Linked DNA regions of Danio rerio. The protein of the gene in region 2 interacts with the protein of the main gene of each other region in a pairwise test. Links are inferred from orthologs where the notes say so. Each region holds a gene or a part of one and is shown on either strand. Other genes may lie near its edges. The genes, in order: elk4 and srfa.

Region 1 (15,905 bases), on a different chromosome or scaffold from region 2:
AAAAAATCAAAAACTGCTTTTATTCTAGCCAAAATAAAACAAATAAGACTTTCTCCAAAAGAAAAAAGAAAATAGGAAATACTGTAAAAATTCCTTACTCTGTTAAACAGCATTTGGGAAATATTTGAAACACACAAAAAACTGTATGTCTGTTTCTGATTTGATTGCATCTCCATCCTTTTAGCCTCCTTCAAGATATTTTTAGGAATATGCCGTGAAATGTCAGCCAGCCTGTGAGCGTGATCAGGATCCTGAAGGTATCGTATCGAGAAGGACATGGACAGCTCTGTGACACTCTGGCAGTTCCTGCTGCAGCTCCTGCTGGACCCAGGGAATGAGCAGCTCATCTGCTGGACCAATGAGGATGGAGAGTTCAAGCTGCTGCAGGCGGAAGAAGTGGCCAGATTATGGGGAGCCCGCAAGAACAAACCCAGCATGAACTACGACAAGCTCAGCCGGGCCCTGCGCTACTACTATGACAAGGTGTGTGATGTTGTCTTTGTTATCATTTGCGCACTCTCATTTGGATCATATTAGTTATTGGTAGGCCATATTGGAATCTGCATGCTTCGAAATCCACAGATCTTTGAGTCTACTTGTTTACTTGTGTAAATGTGTGTAAATTTATATTTATTCAGTTTTTGAATTAATTTCTGTTATATTATTGACTAATATGAAATTGTTCATATGATTTATTTACAATACTGTTTGTAAAGTTTTTTCTCTGTACTTTTAGAGAGATGTATTATGAACATCTCGTTTTAGTAGATGTATTATAAATAAAAGATACTTGCTTTGTTTACCAAATAAGTGGATGTAATTGGATTTGCATTGTAAGCATTAAAAAAAAGTTAAAAGGTATTATATTTTATATATCAAGTTTTTAGTTAAGATACTCCCCAAATCATTCCGTAATCATTCCAAAAATATGCTAATTTTTAATAAAGTTCTCTGCAGAAATAGCAAAAAATGTTTGCAGATTCTGTCTGGCCCTAATTATCGGTCAATGCTATGTGTGTGTGTGTTTTTTAATGAAAAAACGTTTACGTAACATTTTAAATCCAACCATAATATCCCTAGACACACAATTATTATTATTATTATTATTATTATTATTATTATTATTAATGAATTATATTATTATTATTATTTAATTATTATTATTATTATTATTATTATTATTATTAATAATACTAATGAATTATATTATTATTATTTAAATTATTATTATTATTATTATTATTGTTGTATGTAGTTATTATTATTTTTGTTGTTGTTATTGGTGATCATCTTATATAACCTCTGTGATAAGAGAACTGTGTAATAACATAATAATGCATTAGAAAACATGAACTAAAATTAAATAATATATATTTACAGCATTTATTATTCTTTCTGGATGTTAATAAAAAAATCTTATAATGTTTTGTTCATGTTTATTCACAAAGTATTAACTAATGTTAACATACAACTTTATATTTTTGCGAACTATTAGTTAATGTTGTAACTAACAAACTAAAATCATGGTAACACAATGAATGAATATTATATTTAATTATTTAAATTTTATCTAATTTTCTTAATTTAATTACAAAATCTTCATTTTTATTCGCTACTTGTTTCATTGTAACTTGTTACATTGTTTAAGTATTACATACATACTGTAAACTTATATGTAAGTCATAACAACAAATGTTTTTATGTTTGTTAAACTAATTTTAAACGTAAATTTAAATTAAATATTTAAAGTTATAGAAATTTTAACTTAATTTTTTCAGTTTGTTTAACTGATGTGAGTTGAGATGACAAGAAAAGTTCAGTTGATTCAACTAAAAAATATAGGCAGCAAGATTTTTTTACAGTGATTATATATTACTATTATATATGCATATGTTATATTCAAACTATTGATAATAAATACTAATTTATTGAGAATTGTTATTATTATTTTTGCTATTATTATTTATTATTATTAGTAGTAGTAGTAATATTAATAATGTTATTATTATTTGTCCATGTTTCATTCTGGCTGTAATTTGTTAAGAAAAATGTATATTTAGTGTTGTGATTTATTAGATATTATCTTATAATTAATTGGGGTTGATATTGTTTGATTTTAAATTATTAGGCATTAGGGATGTAACAATATTGTAAGTACTGTAATACCGCAATAAAAAAATTTTCAATAATACCGTAGGCGCATGACTCAATAAAACTTTATTTCTGAGAAAAGTTTGCTTAGGCGAATGAAGCAAATGGGAGGTAGCAGGAACTACAATTTCCATCAGCCTAGGCGTGGCCATCATCCTTTATGGTCTGTTCTCACTACAGATCCAGTATAATGCGGAAATGGAGTGTGCTGCTAGTAGTGGGGAAGAAAAAGAGCTGGAAATGATCGAACCTAAAGCAGGTTTTAAATCGAATGTGTGGAAGCATTTCGGGTTCTTTCTAAAAAGATACAAAAAAAGGAGAAAAGGTGACAGACAAAGAAAAACGGTATGCAGGCACTGCCAGACTGTGGTGAAATATAAGTTGGGGAATACGACTAAAAACAGTCATGGGGACTGCAGAACACAGCACACTTGTTAGATTGATGTAGACATTGACTTGTACGGCAAAGAGACCTCTATCTCACTCATGGCTTGTCCTCTCAAGTGGTGGAAAGACGATGCACAACGTTACCCACTGCTGTCAACCTTGGCTAAATCATATCTCTCTGTCCCAGAAACCTCAGTCCCAAATGAGAATGTTTTTTTTTTCTGTTGCAGGGGACATGCCCAGAGATCCCAGCTTTTACCAGATTATAGTTATATGATAATTTTTCTTAAAAAAAAACCCCATCTCTATCTAAGTGAGTGAGTGATTAAATTTGTGATTGTGATGAGTTTTTTCTGTCTTATTTCTCACAATACTAAATTGAAACTTTTTTTTTTTTTTACATGGTTTAATAGTTTTTTGTTATCAAAATTGAAAAAGTTCCGGTTTCTAAACTTACAGGTAGATGGCTAATTTGTATGTCATTAATATGTTCAGTGCTAAGGTAAATAAACACTTTTGGCACTTTTTTCGGGTCTTTTCATTAGTTTTGTTTTCCTGTAAATTATTCAATAAATACCGTACCGTGCCATTCATAACGAGATATTACCGTACCATGAAATTCTGATACCGTTACATCCCTATTAGGCATTTATTATTAGTTATTAGGTATTAATGTTCTATTGCAAAATAATTGAGTTTGTAATGACCGTTTTCCTTACCATTATTCTTTATCCAGGTTATCCATTTTCTTTTATTATATATTATTTGTTTTTGTAAAATTAAGGTACGTTCACATAGGCTGGGTTAAACAGCTTGTATTCTGTTATTTTAAAACCTGCAAGTTACCATGTCACACAAAATAAATATTTAAATTATAAACTAAATTAAGCACTCAAACACTTGTTATAAGCTGTTAAATAAGTACATATGTTTTATTTATTTATTTTTTGGGGTGTGCTAATCCCCATAGGCTTTAGAGATTTACCAGGCTAATTCTGTTGTGTCTGTATATTTAAATCAGTGTTTATCATAATTGCTAGCGTTCAGGCCTCTCATCCCCCCCACACTCTTCTCCATCAGTAAGTTGTTTTGTTGCTGTAAACACACAATCAAATACATCTGAACTGCAAGAAGAGGGTCACAGATCCCGTTAGCACAGTGAGGAAGTCATGGCCTCTCGCTAGGGGTTTATTCTTGAGTGCCAACCGCGTGTTTGAGGGTTTGGCACTTGCGTTTTAAGCTTCATCTTGGCACCACAGGGCACGAGGTATCGTTTACTGAATTCTTGCTGGGCTCTTTCACTTAATTGCATGTTATTTTGTTGGAGAGGGTACAAGAATGCAACTGACTGGCTGGTAAAATGTACATGTGAGGGACGTTTTGGTTGATTTGTTTGGGTTTTGACAATATTTTTGGATGCATGTAGGCGAACGGTCAATCCTAAGCTAAAATTAACATGATTTTTATTTTTCCTCAAATATTTTCATCATCAAAAAAGCAAGCAAACTGAAGATTTTCTTGTGTTTAGCATTGTTAAATGTACACAAAACAAACTTTATTTCACTATAGATCATTTTGAGGGATGCAAACAATAACAATGGTCCTAATGTATTTCCTGTTTTAGATCTTTCATTTACAAAGCTTCTGAGAATCCTGAAAGCTTCATGTTGATACTTTTTTAATGACAGCCATGTTAACATTAGTTGTGACTGAATCACCTCTTATTATACAGTTCTGACGAGCAGGAGCTGTTCATGGACCAATGATATCACCATATTGAAATGGTCTATATACATTTTTATTTATTTAACAACATTTTTTAGAGAGAAAGAGAGTTTTGTTTACATTTACCTTGCATAGTATTATGTGCAAACAATATTAACATATACTTTTATAATAATTTGTGTGAATATAAAAAGATGTATTTATAAAACAAAAAAAATGGATGAACGGCTTTGGATGAGATACGTAAGAAACTAGTCCTACACATAGGTGCAGTTTGATTACATGTGGAATGGCAGCACGGTGGCTCAGTGGTTAGCACTGTTGCCTCACAGCAAGAAGGTCACTGGCTTGAGACCCGGATGAGTCAGTTGGCGTTTTTGTGTGAAGTTTGCAACGTACTGTCTGTCTTAGTCTGTCTTAGGTTATGTATATAGTTAAGTAGTAATTTTTAGTATATGTATAGTTAGATTACCACTTTAGTAAACTCTCAGAAAAATGGTACAATTTTGTACCAAAGGAGGCACAAACCCTTGTCACTGTAGAAGTTCCTATTTATGGAACAGAATTGTACCTTAAGACAAAGAAACAAAATTGTACCATTGCAGTTTGTGCAGGCCCATTCTGAAAACGTAGTTCCATGGACGTTCCTGGAGACCGCGAAATTCCGGGAGGTACTTATTTTTGCAATTTTTGTTTTTGTGAATCCACGAGACGCTGCTGTGTGCGCTTTTTTGCATCTCAAAATGTCTCTCGCTAGTGCCGATCGCGCCTGTGCTGTTCTCACGTAAACCCATCAGAGGCCGCTGTCGACTGACCGTCTGTCTGACTGACTGATTGACTGGGCTACCAGCCAATCGGCTGACCCACCCACCTCCTTCCTTGAACCCAACCAATTTTACCGATTGACCCGCCCACCCGCATACTTCCCTAAACCCAACCAACAAATTACAAAAGCTGTCCAGAAAAAGAAAAGCCCTCGTCTGATTTTTACCACGTTTTCAGATTTTACCACATTTTTACCCTGTTCTGAACTTGCTCACTTTATTTTTTGGATGCTGTTTTTGTCTGATATGATTTCTGGAACCGCTCTTCCCTGGACTCAAACCCGGTCGTCGTCGTTGTGGTCAGCTCTCCTCTGCATCTCAAGTCTGTCGATGTACACAATGAGCTAACTGGACAAACTGGTTGTGGCAGGAAAGCCCTCCACGCGGAGGTAATCGGTCAGCCAGTAAGCGTAAAAAGGACTGGCGTCATACCTCCCCGTAGTGTTCGCTGAAAAAATGAAATGCAGCCATACGTACCTCCGGCTACATAATTCGCGGTCTCCAGAAACGTCCACGGCACTACGTTATCATAATGAGCCTGGGTTGAGTTTGTACCTTTTAAGGACATGATCTGTACCATGGGAAACCAAAATGTACCTTAGGATTTTAAAACCTGCAGATACAATATTGTATTTTCATCAAAGGTACAAATCTGATCCATGAAGGTACCACTACAGTGACAAGACACTTTGTACCTTAACAGTGTCAAATGTGTTCCTTCAAGAACTATTTAAGGGCGTTTTGCTTTATCCAAAATGGGTCAATTTATGTTCAGTAATTATGAAACATCAAATACATTTTTTTAAAAACGTTTCTACACCTTTTCCATTTACAATTAAGAGTAAAAACTACTTTAACATAAATCAAAAGATCTATTTTTTGCTAAACTTTTCACAAAAATGTTACAGAAATACATTCTCCCATCTTTAATATTAAACAGTTTTTCTCCAATTTTCACACAACACCTTTGTGATCACTTAATTTACTTAATTTTTAAATAGAAATAGAATTATGCAAAAGTATTGTGACGAGATATGACCAGTGTTTGAGCTTTACAATACTAAAATGTCTGCATGAACACTTTACATATGCAGAACTTTTGAAAGCTCATGTGCGTAGTGGAAAGCAAACGCCAAAAGGTGCGGATATCAATAATGAAAATGTATTTATCAGAAAATGCTTATAATGTTTATTAAAAATGCCTTAAATGTTTAGTTTACATTACCTATATTTTTGTTTTACCAGTTGTTTTGTATTATAGAACTTAATGGTGAATGTTTATGAGTTTCTTTAAACGTATGCTTTTAAATGATGATTCATGTTTTAAGATGGAAATTATTCATAAAATCACTTTGCCTTTCCAGTAATATTTAGATTCATAGATATTGTAATAACGGAGGAGTACCTTTTTAATGAGAACAGCTGTGTACTTTTATTTTAATTGTACCATAAAAGGTACAGAGCATTCTCATAAGAGGTATTTTCTGAACTATATAAGGTACAATTTTTACAAAGGTAAATGTTAGCTATGCATAGGTTATATGTAATAGCTCCTACGTCCAGTGTTGTGTTCATATTTATGATTATGTATTTTTATGCAGCACCGTGGTCCTGTGAGACACAACATTTCATTCCGCTGTATGTCAGCACATGTAGCGTAATGTAAATAAAGCGTGACTTGAGTTTTTATAATATTTTTATGTGCATGCCAAAAAATGTTAGTCATCAGCTAATGTTTTTTCCCATCCTTTCATGCAGAACATCATCAAAAAAGTCAACGGCCAGAAGTTTGTCTATCGTTTCGTGTCGTACCCTGACATCCTAAAAGGAGACGTCATGGCCAGGGCCGAGGGTGCAGACGGAGGCTCGAACGGCCCTCTGCCTCTCTCGGACCAACCAACAAACATCTCCAGAGATAAAGACAACAAATCCATCATAGAGCGGGGAGCCGGAACACTGGCTCAGTCTAAATCATCCAGCCGGAATGAATACATCCACTCTGGCCTTTATACATCCTTCACTTTGACCTCTTTGCAATCGGGAACGCAACTTTTTAAAGCCACCAAGAATGAAAACCCAGGAGAAAAGCTAATGGAGAAAAAAAGCACCCAGGATTCACCCCAGCCGTTATCCACAGTTATCAAATTTGGGACCATGCCACAAAAAAGCACCACTGCGTCTGCTATAGGAAGACCTGAACTTCCAGAACAGTCCGCTCAATCACCTCTGGCTGATCCCGAATCCAAACAGACCTCCATCTCCAATACTGTGTGTGCGTTTGTGGAGAAAACGTCTTCAGAGAACGCCATGACAGGCTTCCCTGTGTCCAGCATCTCTCCATCAGTGCTCCATCATTCCTCCCAGTCTCCCTCTTCTTCTCCCATGACAGATTCACAGCAGCTGGTGATTGACAGTGAGATTGAGTCTCTTTCCTCACAGCCTTCAGAGTTACAGCTGCAGGTACGACACTTTCTGATGATGATGATGACCATGTTATACTGTGAGTTGTGCAGTATTGGCTTTGGGAATTTGTGCAATAAAACATAAATAATATTGTATGTACTCTGGTGTGTGTAATACAAAAGGATGTAGTTTTAAAGGCTTTTTAGCCCACACTTGTTTCTTTCTTTATTCATTTATTTATTAAACTAGATTTATTTATTAAACTAGAAACTAGTTTTGGCATACGCTTACACACACTTTCACGCACGCACTTGTACAGCTATTTTTAGGGCAACTTCCCATAGATGTAATGATTTTTTATACTGTAATGACTGTGTATTCTCTCTATCCTACCCCTAATCTCAACCTTCATAGGAAACAATTAGCATTTTTTAGATTTTCAAAATACCTTATTCTTTGTGAGTTATGAGTCTTTTTCCCCATGGGGAGCAAAAAACGTATATAAGCAAAAAAAAAAAAAAAAAAAAAAAATATATATATATATATATATATATATATATATATATATATATATACAACAGTTCTGTCTGGTTCTCGAATCTAATTGGCTGATAGTTGTGATATATTTAAGTAATATCAACACCCGTACAGCCTCTTTACCCTTTGTGTATTACTCCGCCCACATACAGCCAGCAAAAAGCAGACACTACAGATCTAAAGTTTAAAAGATGCATGCTCAGCTGTTTAACTGTCAGCTTATGATTTGAATCCAACATGGAAGAAAGTTGTTCCTCATACAAAAGGGCTTTTAAGACTCTCCATGTTTGATTTTGTTTTTATATACACAATTTTGCCGTCAAACAGTTGTATAAACGCAATATCACACTCGTAGCAGTGCGATATGGCTGTATATCAGCACTTGTTGGGGCACTAAGGCAACGCATGCCTCCCACCAGTGCCGAAATACAGCCATATCGCACTGCTACGAGTGTGATATTGCTCATTTATATATATAAATAAATCACATTCATATACGTGTGTGTGTGTGTATATATTAACGCAAGACTCTTATCGGGCATTTAAAAAAAATATTGTATAATCTATTCTCAAAGTTTGGTTGGGAGCTGGGTCTATTCTACGCAAGATATGATGACTTTCAACTTAATATTTTATCGCAGATGTATACCTGACCAGTGAGCCGTCTGACAAAAAAGTGCCCTTCTGGATCTCTCACTTACTTCAAAGACACTACTGACTACGTTTACATGGACATCAGTAATCTAGTTATTTGCCGTAATAGACAATAATATAGTTAAGGTGTTTACGTGAAGTGCTTTCATGTAACATTTTCCTGTAATTTTGGGTGACTTTAACTGTTGTGCGGCAGTTTTACATTTACTCATAAACATTTTAGTCATCCCCCTTGACTAACTGGGGTTTTAGATGCAAATAAGGAGTAAGGACTGGTGAGGGTGTTATAGTATTTAATAACACATACCAAATGGAAAGAAAATAACTTTCACATTTCACAATGTGTGTGTGTGTGTGTGTGCGTGGTCCTTTACTGACAGCCGCGTCTGTGGATCTTGTCTGAAAATATGGCGAAAAGTCCTACATGACGGTAATAGTTTAATTGGGGTGTTTACTTCAATGATGCCACTAATATATGCATATTCCACGTCTTAATTACATTTCTGTTTATTTCACTTATGACTTTAGTCGAATTAAGGTAATCAAAAAAATCACTGTTTCGATCTTACGTAAAGTTCAAAATTCAAGTTTTACTAAATAAATAGTCAGTAAACAAGTACATCTTATTGAAGATAATTTATTTTCATCACCAATTATCACAGTAGAACAGTTTCTCAAGCAGTTTGTGATGCATTTTGGAAACAGGAGATGAGCCCCTGGTCTAATGCGCTACCTGGCTTGAGAAACCCGTTCTCCAAAACTTATATGTAGTCATTATTCGGGTCGCACACATATTTTAAATGCCTTCGGGAGAATTCAAATGAGCCATTTTGGTCTAGATTAATCTAGATTAATGCCAAGATTACAGTGAGATTAATCTAGATAAAAAAATCTGTGCCCACTTATAATATTTACAGTAGAATAAAACATTTTCCTATACATCAAATACAGGGCTTTCTTAAATTTTAATTCTCCTTTTCTGCAATTTCTGTTTTATTCCAAATGAAATGTTCTGGATTCAGTTAATTTGTTCTGGACTTTATAATGGTTGAACTAAATTGCAATTATCAGGAAGCATGTCCAGTTAATTTAGTCAATACAGTTAGTCATAACACATATTCAGGTTAACAATAATTTATAAAGAGATCAAGATAAAAATGTAATATGTTAATGTAATATAAAAATATATTAAAATGTTTTTATCATATGCATATATAATGTTTGTTGAATGTAGCATGAGTAAGACTTAAATCAGTCAAAATATGAAATTGGGCACACTTTAATGTACAATTCACACTTTTAACAAACCATTGACTAAGACTTTAAGCTCAATACACTACTAATTAGCTGCTTATTAATCGTTATTTAGTAGTTGGGTTTTGGTATTGAGTTGGATTAGGGAATGTAAAATACGATAATACTTTATAAATGCTAATAAACAATTGATATCCTAATAATATGCAGGTAATAAGCGAGTAGTAAATGGTGTGAATAGTTGTGACTTAAACTAAAGTGTTACCATGAATTTAATGATGGTTAAATGCAGAAGGATATAATCTCTCTAAAAAACAAGTTAAACCAGTGTCCACTTTTATTTTCTTACATTTGCTTTTAACCTGTAGATTTATACTAGATTTTGCAGATCTATATTTAAACGATGAGATCAAATTGAATTTTATATGAAGGGATAGTTCACCCAAAAATATCATTTATAAAAACGAGTTAAACCAGTGTGCACTTTTATTTTTTTACATTTGCTTTTAACCTGTCCTTTTTCTCAATTTATCAGGTTCAGCCGTTCTCTGTTTCTAAGGCCACGGTATCATCTTGTGTCCTGCCCGAATCTCCACCCCGCAATATCAGCTCCAAATCGAAGAAACCCAAAGGCCTTGAGTTAATGCCCACGCTGGTGGTTACCAGCTCTGACCTGAGCCCTCTCAATCTGTCCAGCCCGTCCCTCCCGACGGCGTCTCTCACCCCAGCCTTCCTGCAGGTCAGTTCCCTCCTGACCTCCACACTCACGCAACTACAGGCTATTTTCTGCTCCCATTCATCTGATACAGTCATCAGAGCATCAGCAGATTTAGTTTTGGGTCACAGAGGAGGATTGTCTGGTGTATTTGTTGCAGGGCTAACCCAAGCGCAAGGGGGCCGTAAGGGGGATTTTATTACTCGATGCGAACAATATCAATGAATATTCACAGACACACTATAAATCTGAAAAGTGCATTGTCGATTTTATTTCCTTTAGTTGTGTTGCTTACATTATGATATATCTTTGTATAGCCTAATACAATTCTACATTTTATTTTCCAGATATAACTTCCTAGATAATGCGACGTTTTATAGAACTTTTAACCACAAAACTAAACAAATAGACAGAAGATTAATCTGAGATTTAATTAACGTTGACAAAAACAACAACGGCTACTACTGAATAACTACTGAATTATTAACTGAACTATTACTACTGAATTATTAATATTACTGGATAGTAATAATTTTATATTTTTTAGTCACAAGATGCTGCCAAACTGTCAAGAGTAGCGGCAGTAAAGATAAACTACTGCAAAAAAATAGCTTTTCTTATAGAATTTTCTTGTTTCTAGTCCAAGTATCTAAAAAATGTTAAATAAAGAAGCATTTTCTAGACAAATAAATATTTAATAATTAAAAAAAGAAATGATTTATTAAATCTGTAAAAACAAGCTAATTAATCTGCAAATAAGTCAAGTAAAATAATCTTATTTTAAACTGAAAACAATATTATTTTACTTAACCTAATTGGGATACTATTTATATTTGTATAAGTAGTCACCATTATCCATTAAAAATAGAGGAACTATGACGTCAATTTGAATGCAAAAACCTGGAAGCGAGTTAACATTTTAGCAGTTCCGGTTCCCTCGTCCCAAAGTCAACAGGTTTTTTCAAATGGGATTTTTGTTAAATCGCTTACATAAGGTTTGTGGCGAACACAAACTCGAGATACTTTCACGTTTTATTCTACAAAAGTGGTCACCAAACTTATTCCTGGAGGGCCGGAGTTCTGCAGATTTTAGTTCCAACCCTAATCAAACACACCTTATTTAAAAAGACGGTTGCTATCAAGTTGCTTAATGGGACTACAGGTGGTGTTGGAGATATTATACGTCATTGAGCTGAGCTGGTCCGGAGCGCAGCTCGCTTGTGTTAAACATTTGGATTAGTCTGTGATTTAAGTATTTTCTTACATAGTATTTTATAGTTTGTAGTAATTTTCTAATTGGGAATTCATATTGTGTGTAGATAATTCCTTCACTTGTAAGAGCTGTCGAGACATTTATTTGTTGATCATTTATTTTATTCATTCATTCATTTTTCTTTTCGGCTTTGTCCCTTTAATAATCTGGGGTCGCCAGATTCGCATGTCTTTGGATTGTGCAGGAAACCGGAGCTCCCGGAGGAAACCCACGTGAACACAGGGAGAACATGCAAACTCCACACAGAAACACTAACTGACCCAGCCGAGGCTCAAACCAGTGACCTTCTTGCTGTGAGGCGACAGCACTACCTACTGCGCCACTGCATTGCTATATATATATATATATATATATATATATATATATATATATATATATAAATATATATATATATATATATATATATATAAATATATATATATATATATATATATTAATATATATATATATATATATATATATATTAATATATATATATATATATATATATATATATATATTTATTTATATATATATATATATATATATATATATTTATTTATATATATATATATATATATATATATATATATATATATATATATATATATATATATATATATATAAAAACATTTTTTCATTTATTCATTTTCTTGTCGGCTTAGTCCCTTTATTAATCTGAGGTCGCCACAGCAGAATGAACCGCCAACTTATCCAGCATGTTTTTACGCAACGGATGCCCTTCCAGCCACAACCCCTCTTTGGGAAACTTCCACACACACTCATTCACACACACTCATACACTACAGACAATTTAGCCTACCCAATTCACCTGTACCACATGTCTTTGGACTGTGGGGGAAACCAGAGCACCCGGAGGAAACCCACGTGAATGTAGGGAGAACATACAAACTCCACACAGAAACGCCAACTGAGCCACGGCTCGAACCAGCAACCCAGCGTCCTTCTTGCTGTGAGGTTGACAGCACTACCTACTGCGCCACTGCATCGCCTCAGTTAAACACAAAGAAGATATTTAGTAGTAAGATAGAAACCTGTAATCATTGACTTCCATAGTATTTGTTTTCCCTACTATAGAAGTCAATGGTTACAGGTTTTCAGCTTTCTTCAAAATATCTTCAAAAAGGGACTTATAAAGGTTTATAACCAGACAGTAAATAGTGAGTAGATTTTTGGATGAACTATCCCTTTAAGCTGAATTAACAGTTGTTATTTTGAGGCACTAGAGGGCAGTAGTGCACCACTTAAACTACTGAAGCTCAATGATGCTGAAGAGAGACACTCATTGGGTTACATGCTGGCGATCATATGGTGAGCTTTAGCTGGATGCTGCTTTGATGGATCACCTCGTTAAAACTGCACAATCTTTGCATTTACGAGCACTCAAACCCTCGGCCCCAGAGGACCCCCCCCCCCCACAGAGATGAAAGATGAAATATACTATAATTCATATCTATTATTTATGATTTTCATGAAATACAGCACCCTTGCCCTCTGATTAATTCTCACTGCTTCTTAAAGTCTCATTAAGCCACTTTTAATTAAACATTTATATTTCAGGGGTTATGCCTCTTGCAAATGCTTTGTGCCGTGATGCTCGCGCATGTTCTTTAATGAATGCGTGCTGGATGAGTGGAGTAAAAGTTCACATTTGTTGCAGACGCCGCTGCTGCTCACGCCCAGTCCACTTCTGTCGAACATTCATTTCTGGAGCACGCTGAGTCCTGTGGCGCCGCTCAGTCCCGCAAGGAGACAGGGAGCACACAACCTCTTCCAGGTGAGAGTCAGATGATGGTCAAAAACCTACATTTACATTCCCTGATCAAAGCATGAACTAATGTGACATCGAACTAAATTAGCCCAACTCAAAGTTTATTTCGAGCTCAACTATTCTATTGTTTTAAATATGGTTCAACTTTTACATTTACATTCCAATTACATTTATTAATGGTGTTGAAAATTTATGTGGACCTAGACTAGACCCTTGATGTATAATTTATTTTTAATATTACAAACAGATTTAAAGGGATAGTTCACCCAAAAATTCTGCTTTCATTTACTCTCCCATTACTTGTTTCAAACTATTATGAGGTGCTTTTTTCTGTTGAGCACAAAAGAAGATATTTAGAAAAATGTTAGAAAGCTGTAAGTATTCACTTCCATAGTAGGAAAGAACAAATACTATGGAAGTCAATGGTTACAGTTTTACAACATTTTCCTAAGTATCTTCTTTAGTGTTCAACTGAAGAAAGAAACTCATTAAGGTTTGAAACCACTTGAGGGTGACTGAATAGTGAGTAAATGTATTTTTTGGGTGAGCTACCCCTTTCTGGCAAGACACTGCATGTGAATATAGTAAAAACAACATATTTGTTAAAATGTTAACGTTAATACTGTAATAGTTTATTTTTCATGGAACAAACGAGCAGTTCTTACTTTATTTCTCAGAATTGTGAGTTAATATCTTGCAATTCTGATTTAATAACTTTGCTTTCTAGTTTACATCTCACAACTCTGATGAAAAAAGTCTTAATTGCGAGTTTTAATACAAATTCGCAATTAAGACTTTTTTTTAATCAATTAACTTGCAATTCTGAGATAAAAAGTCACAATGACCTTTTTTATTTCATTGTTTTTCCATACAATAGCCAAAATAGCCATTGTATGGGTCAAAATAATCAAATTTTCTGTTATAACAAAAATCATTAAAATATTTAGTAAAGATTATGTCACATTATGAATATTTTGTCACCTTCTTATCATATAAAAACTCAATTTCTGCTTAGTATTGTGCATTGCTTAAAACTTTTGATACTTCTGAGATTTTCTCACACATTTTGATTTTTTTTTGCACCCTCAAATTCCATTATTTAAAAATTATTTTAATTTTTGCCAAATATTATCATATCCTTACAAAATCTCGGCTCTTAACCAGTGGTTAGATGCATCTTTTTTTTTTTTTCTTAATATATTACAAGTGGACAAAATATGCAAACTAACATGCAGTACAATCAGTATCTTTCATTCTATACTTTTACAAAATGAATTCTCCCCCTTTTAGTTTGCTGGGACATTTTAAACACTTTTGCTTTCTAAAAATACCTTGCTCACTATTAACATTACATTACAAAATAAACATGAAATATACATATCAATTCCAGGTTTTTGTGAAGATATTTTAATATTCAGTTCATTCAGCATATATGCTATCACAGGTTGTTCTTGAAAATTACTTTAATATGACATTTTGAACAATAAAATTCACAAAAATCCATTTGCATGTATATTTGTTTACAATAAAACTACAAAAAAGATTATATTTCAGAAGAACAGGGAAATGGTGAAAGATTAGCTTTGTAGCTAGACAAAAATCATATGCAATCCGATATGGTGGCTCTAGTGAAAACAGCTTTGTTCATTACAAAGCTGAATGATCTCTTTGTGGAGTCAGTGCAGAGAGACTGGCTTATTTAGGATTCCCACAGTTCTGGAAAAGAAGGCTTAAAGCATTATACAATCAGTGTACATCTTGTAGTAAACTTAAATAGGTAATATTGCTTATATCGTAGTATAAGTTTATATTAATATTTGTAATTATTGTTTAGATTAAGATTAAGCTTTAGTATTTGTCTTATGTACTTGCTTTGCGATTTTTTTTTTTCTTTATTAAGGTAAATGTAACAGCATTGCAATATTTATTTATTATATTTATTCCATATTAAACTTGAATAGTAAATATTGCTTATATACTAGTACAAGTTTATATTTTTAATTTTTGTTTATTTTAAGATTAAGCTTTAGCATTTGTTATTTACTTGTTATGCAATTTTCCTTTTGTATATTTTTATATAGCTTTGTTTGTCTTGCTGTAACTTTTTTTTCAGATGTTTATTTTTCATTAGCTTTATTTTTAACACAAAAAAAGAGCAAAACCATAAATTACCATCACCAAAATATTTAAACTTTTTTAAAAGCATTTAAC
Region 2 (16,593 bases):
GACGTGCAACAACTTTAACTATGAGGTAAACACAAAACAAAACTTTCCATCCGGAGCTCCTTCACGGGACTCCACACTTGTAAACAATCGCTCGAGCCATTCGCGCGGCTCTCGGTCCCGCCCAGACTCGTCAGCGCTACCAAGCCGACCAATCACAGAGCTTGCACTACACGTTTTTGCGACGTGTAGTTACAATTTTTGAGAGGTGCACGTCAGTGACGCCGACGGCCACAGCGAAGGGCTATGCGTCAGTGCCGTAGCATACGCCGGTGTTTGACGCAGAAATATAATACTCTGTGTTCGACAGAAAAACCCAATTGAAGTCATTCTTTCTGTATGGGTCATTCACAAAATGTGTTTTTTTGCAAACTTTAGATCATTATTTAAAACATAGACATGCAGCAAATGAAAAAAATAAATAGAGAGAGTAAGCAACACCCTTGCACTTTCTATACATTTGGATGCAATGTGAACAGACCATAAACAACAATAGGGGACATCCTGGAGATCCTCTTCTTGCTTCTTAGCATGTGGCTGTTTGTCACAAGAAGAACCAAGCTTTGTTTGAGCTCGGGTTGACCATGGTTCATTGCTGTGCACTATCATTGTATTACTACGATGATTTGTTTCAGCTGTGTATTTAAAAATGAAGCTTCCTGTGTTGTAGTTCCCCTGACTTGTTGTATGCACAAGTGATGGTTCTCTGTTAACTTGTATAAGTTGTGTAAGTCTGTGCATTCAACAGCGAGTCTTGCTTCACCCTTTTGGTACTATACTATTATGCTAGGTATCCTTGCGAAGTGGTTCTGTTCACTATTTTGATACCTTTTATCATGGAAACTGAAATAATTAGGTACTGTACTGTAGGAAACCGTACTGCTCAGTGGAAAATGAGCCATTAGGAACTGTCTTGATTAAGGGTGCTTTTACACTAGCACTTTTGGTCCGCACCCGGGTTCGTTTGACATCAGAGTACAGTACGTTTAGCTAGTGTTAACTAGTTCTTCGGAACTTGGGTGCGCAGCCACGAACCGAATCACAGACATGCACACACACAGACACACAAATCGATGTTACGAAAACAAAACAGTTGGCGGTTCACTTCCATTATTTGGTACAATTGCATTTTATACCAGAAGTGAACCTGACCAGTGTTCGGTGGACTCAGGTACGGTTCACGAGTGTGCACCCAAGTTCAGAAGACACATTTACACTAGCTAAAGTGTAATGTCAAATCGCCACAGCCATATCACCCTGCAGCCCAAGACCGGTTACGCACTGAAGCTAAGCAGGGCTGAGCCTGGTCAGTACCTGGATGGGAGACCACTAGGGAACACTAGGTTGCTGTTGGAAGTGGTGTTAGTGAGGCCAGCAGGGGGCGCTCAACCTGTGGTCTATGTGAGTCCTAATGCCCTAGTAAAAGTGAAGAGGATACTACACTGTCAGTGAGCGCCGTCTTTCGGATGAGACGTTAAACCGAGGTCCTGTCTCTCTGTGGTCATTAAAAATCCCATGGCACTTCTCGTGAAAGAGCAGGGGTGTAACCCCGTTGTCCTGGCCAAAGTCCCTCTATCGGCCCATACGATCATGGTCTCCCAATCATCCCCTTCCACCGAATTGGCTCGATCACTGTCTCTCCACTCCACCAATAGCTGGTGTGTGGTGAGCGCACTGACGCCGTTGTCCTGTGGCTGCCATTGCATCATCCAAGTGGATGCTGCACACCGGTGGTGGTGTGAAGAGACCCCCCTCATGATTGTGAAGCGCTTTGGGTGTATGGCCGTATACATTAAATGCGCTATGTAAATACACATTACATTACATTTACATTACAAATAAACCCGGGCGTGAACCAAATGTGCTAGTCTGAAAGCATTCCCAATCTTTCATTGTTCTTTTTTCTGTTCCTGCTGTAACACCTTAATTTTCCTGAAGAATCTTCAAAGGAAGTATAAGTTAAAGATGAATGCCAAGGTGCCAAATAAAAGCCTTTGCTGTCACTGACCAAGAGCTGATTATTCTTAATCAATACTCTTCCTTTTTGGCATTTTTCTGTAAAATACATAAAAATAAATTGTTACAACAGTTAAACTTGACAATATAACTGTAAGAATGTTAAAACTGATAAGACACTTACCTCACTTTTTCCATACTGATTTAGTGCCAACCAGCCCTACATTTAAAGTGTTTATGGGTTTAATGATAATAGAGTTGAAGATCAGTAAAAATAGATTAATAATAATAATAAAGGCACCTTCAGCACTGCTCAGCACCATATTATTTGGAGTCAGCATTCTTGTGTTTTTTGCCAAGAAAAAAATTTCTGTAAAAGACAAAATTTTTTAGAGTTCTCAAACTTGACAACATAACGGCAACTATAATAAAAAATAACAGAGACTGTAATAGATACTTACCTATGTTTGAACCCTGCAATAATTTTCCCAAACAGATTTAGCATCAGCTGGAAGGGTATCTGTAGAGTAATTGGGGGTTCATTCACCTGTGGTGACCCCTGATAAATCAAGTCAAGGGATTGTGAGTTAGATTTAGCATCTGCTTTGCTACAATTTAAATTTTGTTGTTGAAAGTTAGAGTTGAAGATTGGTCTGAATGTATAATAGCGCCCTTAGTAGTGTCCAACAAAGGATTATTTGCTGTCAGTATTCTTGTGTTTTTATCAAGGAAAATATAGTTTAGTGATTGGTTTCTCTTTTGTCTTTCAGCGCTCCAGCAATGTAAGTGCCATGTTGGTAATGACCAAACCCTTGACTGGACCTCGAGAACATGTTGTGGATCTGGAGATGGTCACCCAAAGTAATGTCTTGTCCTACCGTTCAAGCTCTCTGCTGAGACTCACCATTGTTGTGGGTCCATACCCTTTCTAAATCCTCTAGATTGATCAAATCAGCACTTTGGATTTATGTATGTACTGCAGCTTACTGTGTTCAAAATGTTCATCAAAGCATGGTCCCCTGTTTGTCCAGATCAGTGGTTCTTACCTGGTTGGTTGCAAAGCGATAAATGGTTCAGAAACTTATTAATAGACTTTTAGAGGTTTTATAAAAATAAATATTTTGTAAGATACGCCATATGTTGACAATTTTTATACTGTGTTGGGTCGCCATTTAATATCCAATGACCTGAACCTTCCTGGGAACTGCTGGTCTAGATAGTCACATTTTTATTACAAACAGGAATCAGTTTACTAATCATCAAAAAAGTGGGTTTTCAGGTTTGTTGACGTTTCTAAGTCATTTATATTTGGTCTGACTGGGTGATGTGAGGCCCTTGAATATCTGAAGAACAACACTACTGGTGACCAGAAAGAAACACAATTACAAAGTTTTACTCTGAATAGCACTTATAGGTTCTTTGTCTTGGTAGTAAGAGTTTTGAAAGATCCTCCTGCATTGGATGCTTGTTTTAAAAGGGTGGTTTATCCAAAAAGTTAGCCTGTCATCATTTAATCACCATATGTTATACAAAGCTCTTATAATTCCTTTTGCATCTAAAACTGAGGTGAAGTGTGTCCGTTTGCATACAGTGAATGTCAGGCAGATCCTATTGAGTTACAAAAACAAAACGCATAAAAAAAACCAGTCTACACTACTCAAATTTTTAGAACAGACAATAAAATCAACATGGGTTCATTCTGAAAACGTAGCTCTATATACGTTTCTATAGAATTATGTAGCCAGAGGAACGTATGGCTGCATTTCGTTTTTAAAACCAACGCTACGGTGCCGTTTCTTTTCTCGCTTACAGCTGACTGCTTACCTTTGTATGGATGCTTGTCCAGTTACCAGTTTGTCCAGTTAGCTTGCCATGTACGTCGGTGGACTTAGGACACAGAGAGGAGTTGACCACGACGACAGGGTTTGAGTCCGGTGAAGAAGCTCTCAAAGCTCTAAAATTTCACTGACATGAAATCTACATATTCAAACTGATACACCACAACTGGTTGAATGCCACATCAAACAGTCAATAATTTAGGTTTGTTAAGTGCAGTTACATTAACATTTTTAAAGGACAGTAGCATATAGATGTATGAACTAACAGATGTCACTTTCAAAGAAATCAGCGAATAATGAGTGCAGAGCTTTTTTAATTTCCGGATTCTGCTTGACAACTGTGCGTTCACATTGAAAATCAATCCATGGGAACACTGAAGCACTCTCTGTAACACAAAACTATCAAATAGCTACAGAAGGCTTACAATAACATACAAAAAGTAGTGGAAAGAGTAATGAAAAATCATACCATTACTTGCCTAAAATGTAGTGCAAGTAGAGTATAAGTATCTGTTTTCAATATTACTCAAAGTATGAGTAAAAATTAGACCTTTCAAAAGTACTCAAGAGTAGAGAATGGTGAAATGCTGATGCATTTACATGTAATTTTTGGATGTGTGTGTAAACGTAACATTCTGTAGTGCATTTAGTTATCGCCCAGCAGGCACATCAACATCATAAGACGTTAATATTAGGTTGTAATGTCAGGTGACCAAAATTCAATGTTTAGCCAGCGTCTAAGGACAACGGTATATGATGCCCAATAACAACTTTAAATGACGCTGAAATTTTGGTTGATTTTAAGTTGTGTTAGAAAGTGACCAAAATCCATTATCGAGCTGACATCTTAAACCAACATATGGATGTCAAATACTGACATTTACTCGTCAGGTATGGAAGCCAAAATACAACATCTGATAGAAGTCAAAGCGGTAACGTCCACACAACGTGAAACTGTAACATCATTAGACGTTACGATTTGGTTGCTTTTAGATTGGACATTGACAACGTCGGCCTGACGTTGGGTTCTGATATCAACCCGAGGTTCATTTCCAAACAAAATGCAAAGTCCCCTTGACGTTGGGGTACCCTTGACTTGTGCCTGCTGGGTGTTTACGTCCATTTTGGTTATCACAGTAATCCTCCGTCATCTTCTCATCAGTGACATGCATCTTAACAAGCTCTAGGTCAATGCATGTGAAGATTTTGGACATCTTTATAGACACTTTTAATGCTTCTTAACAGTTTGCTGCGATTATAAAGCACTCACGTCTTAAGGTAGTTCATTATGATGCGATTTACCTTCTATGTGTGATTTGATTGGACTTACAGGACTGATTTTTCTAAACCCCATAGACAAGAAAAAATAAAGTAGTGACTCAAGTTGAAAGAAAGTGCAGTGATACAGCACTAAAAATGTACTCAAAAGTACACATTTATAAAACTACTTAGTAAATTACAATTTCTGAGAAAAACTACTCAATTACAGGAGTTTAAGTATTCTTAATTAGTCACTTTACACCACTGCATATAAGTGACATGGACCTCTTTTATGGTGCATTTTAAGTAGACGTTGCTTTCTTGCGTCAAACATATGACAGATTTTCGTTTTTGAATAAGCCAAACTTTTAACCTGCCAATAAGTCAACGCTTTTACATTGCTCATACATGGAACATGGAGAAGCAAAATGTACTTTAGTGCTTATAGATTTCTTACATTTTAGCCAGGGAAAAGTGTTTTATTGGTGGAACATGTGGATAAGGCAAACAGAACTGCATAGGGTTAGGTGGAACAGTTTGTGTTGTAATCTAATGGCATCCTTAGCTAATGGAAATCTCTGATGCGTCCTCCGCCTTGCGAATACTCCAGAAATGACCTCCTATCCTATGAGAATAAGGCAATAATGTTTTGGAAACAGAAGTGATGTTTTCAGGAAATTGCTGGCAAGGGTTTTGGGTCGCATAAGCAATGGAACTCTTGCCTAACATGTCTGTATGTTTGCCAGAGCAGCGTTTGATCTTCTGCAGTGTTTCGTGTTGATGGTCTGTGACAAACACTGTTACTTAAACCGTTGCGTCACGCTCGGCGTCCCCAGGGACATGGTGGTGGGTGAAGCCAAAATGGTTCGTGCACCACCATGTTATATGCAATTATTTGGCGAGCGATCTCTGCATCGAGACTTCGTATTGCAACTTAATATGCTTACAAATCAAATCTGTATGTTTTCTAATCAGTGACTTTGATTCAGTGAGTTTGAATGCTCCCTGTTCATTCTCTTATTGAGATCATCTAAATTGATGTGGACTGGTTGTTCCTGCTCACTGAAGACAACCAATGTCTAAAAAATGGATTTGAATCTTACGTTCAGGAATAATCTGTATTGTTTATCAGTATGCTCTCAAGTTGCACTGTTTTTACTTATTCATAGTGCCATTTATTCTGCTGTAAAGTGTTTTGGAAATAAATATAAATTCAAAAACTGTCGTTTTGTTTTGCTTATTACTTTGCTTAACACATCTATATATTTCCAGATGTGCATCAAAACAAATGTAGCACATGTAATGCTCATGTTCTCAAATCTAATCTTCTGCTAGTATTGCATAACGTGCATGGGTCAGTTTGGTATATTCCTGGAACAGTTTAAGAGGACCACCAAGATTCATCTGCAGTTATTACCTCCTGCGGTTGCAGATGGGAATATGTAACTATGTGATGTTGTCATGACAATAGTTGAGCAGTTCCTGTAAGAATATTTACACACTAATAGCCAAGTGGCTTACAGAAAACATGTGAGCATTACATGAACTGAGTTTTTGCTTAGACCTTTTTTATAATTAAAGAAACGTGGAGTAAACATGAACGCATACACAAAATATTTAACATTATGACTGGAAATTGAATGTTGATCTTTTTGAGAACCTGTTGTTAATGGATAAAATGAATATTTTATTAGGACGCCACCTTTCTGATGGTTTTATACGAGTACTGAAAGGTTGTATGTATCAGAACCAAAGACTTTTGAGACACTTCCATATTTGAGTACTATGCCACCTCACATACACTACCCTCGCTCCAACTGTATTTTAAGTGGAACGTTTCAGTATTGACTTGTCCCAAGCTCTAATACTGATTATATCAAAAAATAGTTTTGGTTAAAGGGTTTGCTAATGTAATATCTAAAATTGATCACATATTCATCACAGCAGAAATTACACTGAAATTAGGTAATAAAGGGGACGACACTGTGGCGCAGTGGGTATGTCACCTCACAGCAAGGATGTTGCTGGTTTGAGCCCCAGCTTGGCCAGTTGACATTTCTGTGTGGAGTTTGCATGTTCTCCCAGTGTTTGCGTGGGCTACAGTCCAAAGTTCCCACAGCCCAAGCACATGCGCTATAGGTGAATTGAATAAACTAAATTGGTCGTAGTGTATGTATGTGCAGGGGAGAGTGTATGAGTGTTTACAAGTGCTGGGTTGCGGCTGAAAGCGCATCCACTGTGTAATAATATATGCTGGGTAAGTAGGCTGTGGCGACCTCTGATTAATAAAGGGGCTAAGCCGAAAAGTAAATGAATGGATGAAAATGACAAAGAGGTGACTTGTCCAATTTAACACAGTACTCAATTTCAGGTTTGGTTTTACTATGAGTGATTGTGACTGGGTTCGAACCAAAGACATTTGAGAAACATCGCTTTTTCAGTTTAGTATTGGATTAAAATCATTTTATTAACTCATCCCAATTCAAAATATTTAAAACATAGCTATTATAAGGGCAGCGTTGTTAGTTGTTCTCTGTTTAACGCTTTAAATGCCCCACCATGAAAAAATTGGAATTTCATTTAAGTCCTAATGTCGCTAGTTAACATACTCAATGCATTTTTTTTCAACACATCCCATAATTTCTAAAATATCCACCTCAACCAAATTGTTTATATGTCGATTTATGGTTAAAATACCAAAATTATTACATATACTATAAAAAATCTGAAAATATGAAGTGTAAAGCCAATCTATATTTAAAAAAAATGTATGTATATATATATATATATATATATATATATATATATATATATATATATATATATATATATATATATATATATATATAAACTAAATCATCTTTATTTTTTGAAGTATACCATAAAGTATTTCAGATTCTCATTTAACATGTTTTGTTGTTGTTTTACTATAAAACCAAAATCAAGTGTAGTAGTGCAACAGGATTATTTGTTTGATTTTTTTGTAAACCTACAATGCTGTGTGTGTAAACCATCATTTAAAACAGTCAAACTGTAAATTAGTTTAACAGTCATTATTTAAAACAGTTAAATTATGGTCAACTATTTGGTAAAGCAGGCAGTTAAAGAGTTAAGGAGTTTATTATTTGTATATCTATCATGGAAGAAATTACACGCAAGTAATTATTTTTATTTGTAAGTTGATCAGTGGAAAGAAATGCCAAAATAGTTTGTTGTGAGGTTGGATAGCTTACAAAGGTGTTTGAGAAACATATTTGAGCACTATGTTACCTCAAATACATATTACTTGAGTATAACTTGTTTAAATGTACTTTTTAAACTTCTAAAACGGCGATTCTTTAGCAACAACATTGAGCCTTTTCTACATTTAAAAGGTTTGCTAATACGTTTATTTTATTTATTACATTATTTTTATTTGTAAGTGTGATATGGATGAAAAAGCCAAACGACTTAATGTTATATCTCCCAATATATAACGTAACAGCTTCATCTGCTGGTAAAACGGAGTAGCGCATCATTTGCACAGCTCCCACAGAGCTGAATTTGACGAGTTTGCCCTAAATTTAAATTAAGCGGTCACGCTGTCAACTTATATTAGGTTTTAAAACTCAATCAAGTACATTTGATTTACCTTTTCTCATATTTCTCCTCAAAAACGCGGCGTTTTGTCGTTATATATTACTATTCAGTTCTGAGGTAAAACACATTTGCTAGCTAGTTCGTTGTGTATGACGTAAATCATTTGTGTCAGCCAAATGACACATGAGCCAATCGCAGGGTCGGAGAGGTTTGCGTAACCAATCGCAGCGCAGCACTGTGACTCACCATACATGGACAGCCATCACCATATAAGGAAACATCGACTCGCTTTATATGGAGGAAAGTAGATCTATAGACGAACGTCTCGTGAGTTAAATTCTCAAAATAAGCAATATTTTACTAATTATTTTCCCCAGAAAACGTTAAACTTAATATTTGACCAAAATAGTGCTTTTTATGAGCTAATAACGTATTATCTAAAACAATACCGACCTTTAAGCAGAGAACTATTTTTAAAGGCGGAGCTGCATTGCGCGGTCGCGATTCGTCGTTTCCAAATGTGGCAAGCGCAGCGTAAGTTCAGTCGAGGTTTGATTGATGGACTGTAGGCGGAAACTATATGTTGTAAACTTTGTACGGTGGTCGTAAAGGGCTAGTTTTGCAGGTTTATTTCTGTCGTTTACGAGACCCTCAAATCCTGACTTTCATACTGAAACAAATCCATCCGTAACCAGAAATAGCGCTTGCCTGCTTTAAGTTGTCCGCTGAGTTGAGCTAATGTTTCTTAGCCTAGCATATGTGAGGTAAGTTCGGTTTTGGGTCTGGATTTGATCTGGGATCTGCTGCACAGATCGCTAACTTTACACCCACCGCAGACCGCCGTAGTGCCGCTTGCAGGTCAGCGATGTTAGGGGGCAACGGGACGGCCAGAGGGGCTGGACGCTCTGGTAATGGCACGGGATTGACACCTCTACAGGTGGGCAGCACATCTGGGGCTCTGGGGGCTGTAAACTCTGTCATAAACCTGCCCGATGGGGGCAGATACGACGACGGGCCGTCGGTCGAGGCTGTGCTGAGCGGCTCCGATGGAGACTCAGACTCCGGGGACGATGAAGAGAGCCCTGTGCCGGACAGGAGAGGGGTGAAGCGGGAGAGGAGCGAGCTGGAGGTCGGGGGATCTTCTGGATCTAACGCCGCACTCTCGGCAGGATACGGAGGGGTCTCCAGCGGGGTGGCCGGAGCGAAGCCCGGCAAGAAAACGCGAGGACGGGTGAAAATTAAGATGGAGTTTATTGACAACAAGCTGAGGAGATACACGACCTTCAGCAAGAGAAAGACTGGCATCATGAAGAAGGTATGTTCATGTGTCTTCTGCTGTTAGTCTGGAACTGATTGTACCACTGCTGTTCTACTGCTGTACTGATGCTAGTTTTACACCAGTGCTAAACATCTATGCTAATATTAGCACTACAACTACTAGTAGTGCCATGCCAATACGTTCTTCAGTAACTGGTACTCTAGTAAACTTTAGTATTTACCTCATTGTGCTTTGTTTAATTCTGTATAAATAATAGTACCACTAACATTACTATATTCAGGATTCCCACTGGTCATGGAATTGTAAAAGCTCTATCCCACATCCTGTAAGTCAGGGAATTGTATACATTTTTTGGTAACACTTTAGGTTATTACATATTTATAATTATGACATTGGTTGTTTTTTAGTAGTTATAAAGTATCGTTTTATTCAACATCCTTAAACCTACCAATACCTAAACCATAGCTCTCAAACTCAATTCCTGGAGGGCCACAGCTCTCAGTTTTGCTTCAACCGTAATCAAACACAACTTATTCAACTAATCAAGGTATTACTACTAGTAGAGACTATTAAGTAGGTGAGCTAGAGATGGTTGGAGCTAAACTGTGCAGAGCTGGGGCCCTCCAGGAATTGGGTTTGAGACCTCTGACCTAAAGCCAACTTCTTACTAACAGTTAATTAGCAGCAAATTAGTACCTTAGTGAGAAAAAAGTCTTAGTTAATGGTTTGTTTATAACAATAATTGTACCTTAAAATAAAGTGTAACCATTTTTATTGGCCCAAGTCATTGAATAACAGGGATTGTTGTTGTATTTCTTATTTCTTTACATTTATAATTTGTTTTTCAAAGTCAAATTATATTCTTCTCCCGCTTGTCAGCTGGCATAAGTCCTAGGGTGCTATCACACCTGCCTTATTTAGTTCGGTTGAATCGCACTAGAGTTCGTTTTCCCTCTTGGTGCGGTTCGTTTGGGCAGGTGTGAATCTAACAATCGTACTCGAGTGCGCACCAAAAGCGGACTAAAAAAGCATAGCAAGACCCCTTAGAGGAGGTGATCTCGGTACGCTTACAAACATGGCAAATTAATTCTTAGTATTATAAATATTTATTATTGTCTGCCACATAATAAAAAGTTTGAACAATAACACACTTACAGGTAAAAAAAAGATAAATAAAACATCAACGTTTTAATTAAAATGTAATTTTAAAAGTTTTTACTTGAATAATTCAGCGATTCCTCCGCGTACCACTAGAAGGAAGTCCGCGTACCACTTGAAGGAAGCCAGTGCATTGATAATGACCAAAAACACATTGAATGAGCAATTTTACCCAATAAATGCATCAATAATATCCACTGATTTTTAGATATTCAATTAAGTGAACTTAAACGATTAGAATGGCAACAAATATTTAGTTGAACCCAAACTACAAAAAAAAAACATTTAAAATAATTTTAAACTAGTTTTAAACTAGTGGGGTTTTGAAATCAATTAATGCAAATAATCGAAATAACTGTAAAGCCGTGATTATTTCTAAGACTATAAGCGTACAACCAAAATTTATAATCGTTGCATCCCTATTTTCAACTGGTTCAGATTAAAGCAATCAATTTGGTGTGAAAACGGCCCAAAAACGGCAGAAAATGCTACAATGTGTCATTTGTTGCCCTTGGTCCGGACCAAATGACCGAACTACAGATGTAAAACCACCCTTATGCACATAAGTCAAAATGCAATCCCCAGGCTTTACCTGTTAAATACTGTCTATATTTTGTGTCTGCCCAGTGCTCAACCCAACAGAAGGTATAATAAACCTTAAAGACGTCACAGAAATCAAGCATTTTGCTATTTAGTCAGTAAAATTTACATATTTTGACATTTGGTTTAGACTGGGAGCCCTGTATATGATACTAAATCTATAGAAATAGTTCCACTTGATTGATCCTAGAGCTACAGTAGAGATGCTAGCTTAGATAGTTTAAATTAATACATATTCTAACACTTCACAAAAACTCTACCACTAAATGTAAAAATACTTCATTTAAAACATTAATAATATTAGTGTCAATGGTTTGAACTCATGAAACTGATTCTATTATTGTAAAATAACAGTGTAAATTACAACATTGATGTTAATTCTATTGAAGTAGTAGTATCACTAGATTATATTGTAAAATTTCAGATACTAACTCTTTTTAAGTACCAGTATTTGCTTAAAATCATACTGCTGAGAAATACCTTTCTTAAATCTCAAAATCAAAGTTGTAGGCTTTAAAAAGTCTCAAATTTACTGAAATATTGTGTTGTAGGTCTTAAATCTTTTTTTAAACAGGTCTTAATTTTCATTTGTTCATGTATTGCTATCCAATCTGGCCAAAACCCATAAAATCACCAACAATCCATCTCAACTTTAAACTTTTTTTTTATTATTATTTAAAAGTTAATTTTTAACTCTGTTTATCATAATGGTTTAATTATTTTCCTTGTAATAACATTTGTTTAGAAGTGGTCCATGTATTTACTGTTGAGGACACTGACCTGGACAGGTTGTTGTGCATAGATTAGGTTTGTTATAGTTTTTAAAACTTTTAAAACATTTGTTCATTTTTTTTATTTTAAAGAAAGTTTATGTTGGAAAAAAAACTTGTATGGATACAAGTAGAGCTTGCTTAATTTTACACAATATTTAAAATATTTTACTTATAAATATCTAAAATATTTGAATTCTTTATTATTTGTTTATTATTGTACTATTGAATGCATCAAATTATTATAATTTCTTTTGATAGGGCAAATAAAAATCTTTTCCATCTGAGCCATTTGTAAATTTCCTTAGCCTTTAGCTCTTTATGAGTCTAAAATTTCATTCATACTGGTCCTGAAATATCTTAATGTCTTAAATTTAACTTGGTGAAACCTGCAGAAACCCTGATATTAGTAAATCAGTTCTAATACTCAAAGTACTCAACTAATGTTTAATATTTATGTTGATTTTAACACGGTGGTAATATTAGTATCTCTTTTCCTAATGCTATGTCACTACTAGTTATTTATAATGGTGTTTTACCAATGCTTGTACCTTTTACACTGTTTGAGGTATAGGTTCTGAATCATGCTTGTTTACTTATGTTATATACGCTGACTGTACCATGCTACTTACATGACATTTGTGTTTAAATGTGTTTTACTGCTCCTGCTAAACCATGATACGCAAGCACTGTTGTTGGTGTTATAATTACCACCCACTCATGTTCTGTAATACTGCAAGCAATTTTATAATTTGCATTATTAGTGGTATATGCTGAGATAATTCAATATACTGAAGATAGTAGTTTTATTATTAATGCTGCCATACTACTTTTGTAGTTCTACCACCAGTAATTTACAAATCAACATTGTATGGCCACAACCATATCATCTTGCAACCCAAGACTGCTTACTCACTGAAGCTAAGCAGGGCTGAGCCTGATCAGTATCTAGATGGGAGACCACAAGGGAAAACTAGGTTGCTGTTGAAGTGGTGAGGCCAGCAGGGGGCGCTTAGTCACTTTTGTGTGAGTCCTAATGCCCCAGTATAGTAATGGCAACGCTATGCTGTCAGTATGCGCCATTTTTCGGATGAGATGTTAAACCGAGGTTTTGACTTTGTGGTTATTAAAATCCCATGGCACTTCTCGTAAAGAGTAGGGGTGGCCAAATTCCCTCCATCAGCCCTGATCCTGCATAGCCTCCCAATCATCCCCATTCACCAATTTGGCTCTATCGTATATATACCAATTGCTAGTGTGAGGTGAGCGCACTGGCGCCGTTGTCCTGTGTAGGGCTGCACGATTAATCGAAAAAAGATCACGATCTCGATTCGACCCTACACACGATCTTAATTCAGCTTTTCTACGATTCAGTCAATTATATTTTCAAGGTCAGGAGAGAAGCTTAAAGGCGGCCGCACAGGTCCTTACAGGAACATGAACACCTTCAAATGGCGTTAAAAGTGTCACATACTGTATTTATAAGGTATAATTCACCCAGAAATGTCATTTCTGTCTCATGTAAGGATTTATTTGCGACAAAATCACATGTGAGCTGACCACGAGTCACTGAGAGAGCGTGCACGTAGCACGCCAATGACGGCTACTTTAGTGAACAGAACCTGCATATGCTGTGAATAACAAGTTATAAAGTTGTAAATAACGTTCAGTTTGTTGCACAGTGATCGTTTGAGAGCCGCGTTGAAAGAATGATTTGCATGTGTGTGTGTTTTATCACAGTGATGGCAGCCATGAGCCGCACTGGAAAGTGAAAGTGAAACCTGTGCGCACATCATTTAAATGATCATAACGCATTTTACAGTTATAATTACGACAAGCATTTGATGTGTTTTTTTTTCTTTCATAGCTAACAGTGTTGTGCATGAAAATAAATGTTTTACAGTGTCAGTATAGCTACTCTAGCTTATATTATGTTGAATATAATGCAAAAATGTCTGTGAAATGTCTGATTTTACCAGTGAAGACAAATGGTCTAATGATGCTGACAATGACAGATGACAAGCACGTCTTAAACATAATAATTCAACTTTATAATTATGAATAGTTGTATTCTGATGTGGGCGAGGCAGTGGCGCAGTATGTAGTGCTGTCGCCTCACAGCAAGAAGGTCGCTGGTTCGAACCTTGGCTCAGTTGGCCTTTCTGTGTGGAGTTTGCATGTTCTCCCTGCCTTCGTGTGGGTTTCCTCCAGGTGCTCCGGTTTCCCCCACAGTCCAAAGACATGCGGTACAGATGAATTGGGTAGGCTAAATTGTCCATAATGTATGAGTGTGTGTGTGAATGTGTGTGTGTGAATGTTTCCCAGAGATGGGTTGAGCCTGGAAGAGCATCCGCTGCAAAAAAAAAAAAACTTGCTGGATAAGTTGGCGGTTCATTCCGCTGTGGCGACCCCGGATTAATAAAGGGACTAAGCCGACAAGAAAATGAATAATGAATGTATTCTGATCTCATCATTTTACTGTGAATTATCAACCAGGACATAAGCCGCACTGGAAAGTGAAAGTGAAACCTGTGCATACATCATTTAAATGATCATAACACATTTTACAGTTATAAATACGACAAGCATTTGATGTGTTTTTTTTTTCTTTCATAGCTAACAGTGTTGTGCATGAAAATAAATGTTTTACAGTGTCAGTACAGCTACTCTAGCTTATATAATGTTGAATGTAATGCAAAACTGTCTGTTACCAGTAAAAAAAAATGGTCTGATGACGCTGACAATGACAAATGACAAACACATGTCTTAAACATAATAATTCAACTTTATAATTATGAATAGTTGTATTCTGATGTCATCATTTTACTGTGAATTATCAACCAGGACATAATGAAAGTCTGTTCAAGTCCACCATAATGACTACAAAATTGAGAATTTTAAGCAACAGTAGAGCTACACACAGGCCTAATATTATTAGTGTTGTTTTACCATATCATCGCTTTAGAATTATAAGGTTCTATCTGACATTTTTGTCAAAATTTAGTTATTGACATATTAAATGACAACTTATTGTTTACATTTTAAGACTTTAAAAAAAATGTTCCACACATACTGTTTGTGTTATGGATTGCAAAAACTTTGAAGCTCAATATGTCAAAATCATTCAGAACGCAGAGAGAACCTTATGATTTCAAGGTAATAAGGGGGGGTTTCCTCTTTTCCTCTTTTTTTCTGCTTTTAAATTGGTTATAAATGCGTGCATATAATACTTTCACTTTCAGTTTTGCGGGAATTGCCAACATGTGCTGCATAAGGGCGCTATATTACACAGAATACACTGGCAAGATTAAGTGGGACCAGTTTTATTTGTTTTGTTATTAACGTGTTGTTCTATTTAAAATGCCTTTTATTTGTAAAATCTCTCAAGTTAATATTGGCCATCTGGTAACATAATCTCCCTTAGAGATATTGGAGTTCAATAACGTGGTGCATAGTATGACTATTGACCAACAGCTCACTGTAAGTTTACACACTGCATAGACTACAGCTCTGAAATCCTACATCAGTTTGGCCAACCCCAAACACCTTTAGCTCTTTAGATAGATTTTTTTTTCTTCTGCTTGACTTGTTTTAACTTCAGTCAATAATACTGATTGGTACAGCCCAAGACATGACAAAAATTTATCGTTTTCATCAGCAATAAATTGCAAAAATGCAAGTTTTGTACATTTGGCATCGTTTCCATATTGCCACCAAATAGGCAGATTAATGATAATTCGAACACTAGTGCTTATTGTAGTTGTATAGTACTTTATTCTGCTTTTTTACCTCTAATAATTATTACTAATGACTGTTAGTAACTTCAGTATCTATTATTGCATCATACTAATACAGTTCAGTTCTTGTTATTGTCTAATTGTTTCATTAACAGTACTATAAGGGGCAATATCATCCTGCTAATATTGGATCATTACCCTATTAATGTACTTATTGTGCAATGCAAGCTGTATTACTGTCACTGAAGTTCTTACTATACCAATGCTAATGCTAAACACTATGCTTTCACCATTATTGTACTCTAATAAATACCACTGAATTAATACTAGCACTAGTAGTTTTACTGTAACAATAGCAAAACCAGGTAACATGCTTGCATCTTTCACTTCTGCCGGATTTTATGCTACTTTACTACTGC

Evidence for each region.
Region 1: the proteins of srfa (region 2) and elk4 interact in a two-hybrid assay, tested with the Homo sapiens proteins (2 studies listed by BioGRID and IntAct). The link is inferred for Danio rerio from reciprocal best matches to the Homo sapiens genes SRF and ELK4.

What each region holds. Positions count from the first base shown.
Region 1 is NC_133186.1:40,881,256-40,897,160, reverse strand, and holds part of elk4 (ETS domain-containing protein Elk-4), read left to right. Parts: intron 1-184; 5' UTR 185-276; coding exon 277-483; intron 484-6,845; coding exon 6,846-7,547; coding exon of another isoform or gene 7,548-7,634; exon of another isoform or gene 7,635-7,702; intron 7,703-10,470; coding exon 10,471-10,674; intron 10,675-13,583; coding exon 13,584-13,700; intron 13,701-15,905. UniProt on the Homo sapiens protein: Involved in both transcriptional activation and repression. Interaction with SIRT7 leads to recruitment and stabilization of SIRT7 at promoters, followed by deacetylation of histone H3 at 'Lys-18' (H3K18Ac) and subsequent transcription repression.
Region 2 is NC_133197.1:37,087,953-37,104,545, forward strand, and holds the start of srfa (serum response factor a), read left to right. Parts: upstream 1-9,172; 5' UTR 9,173-9,495; coding exon 9,496-9,945; intron 9,946-16,593. Other genes in the region: si:ch73-173h19.3 (uncharacterized protein LOC563864 precursor), read left to right, coding at 2,724-2,885. UniProt on the Homo sapiens protein: SRF is a transcription factor that binds to the serum response element (SRE), a short sequence of dyad symmetry located 300 bp to the 5' of the site of transcription initiation of some genes (such as FOS).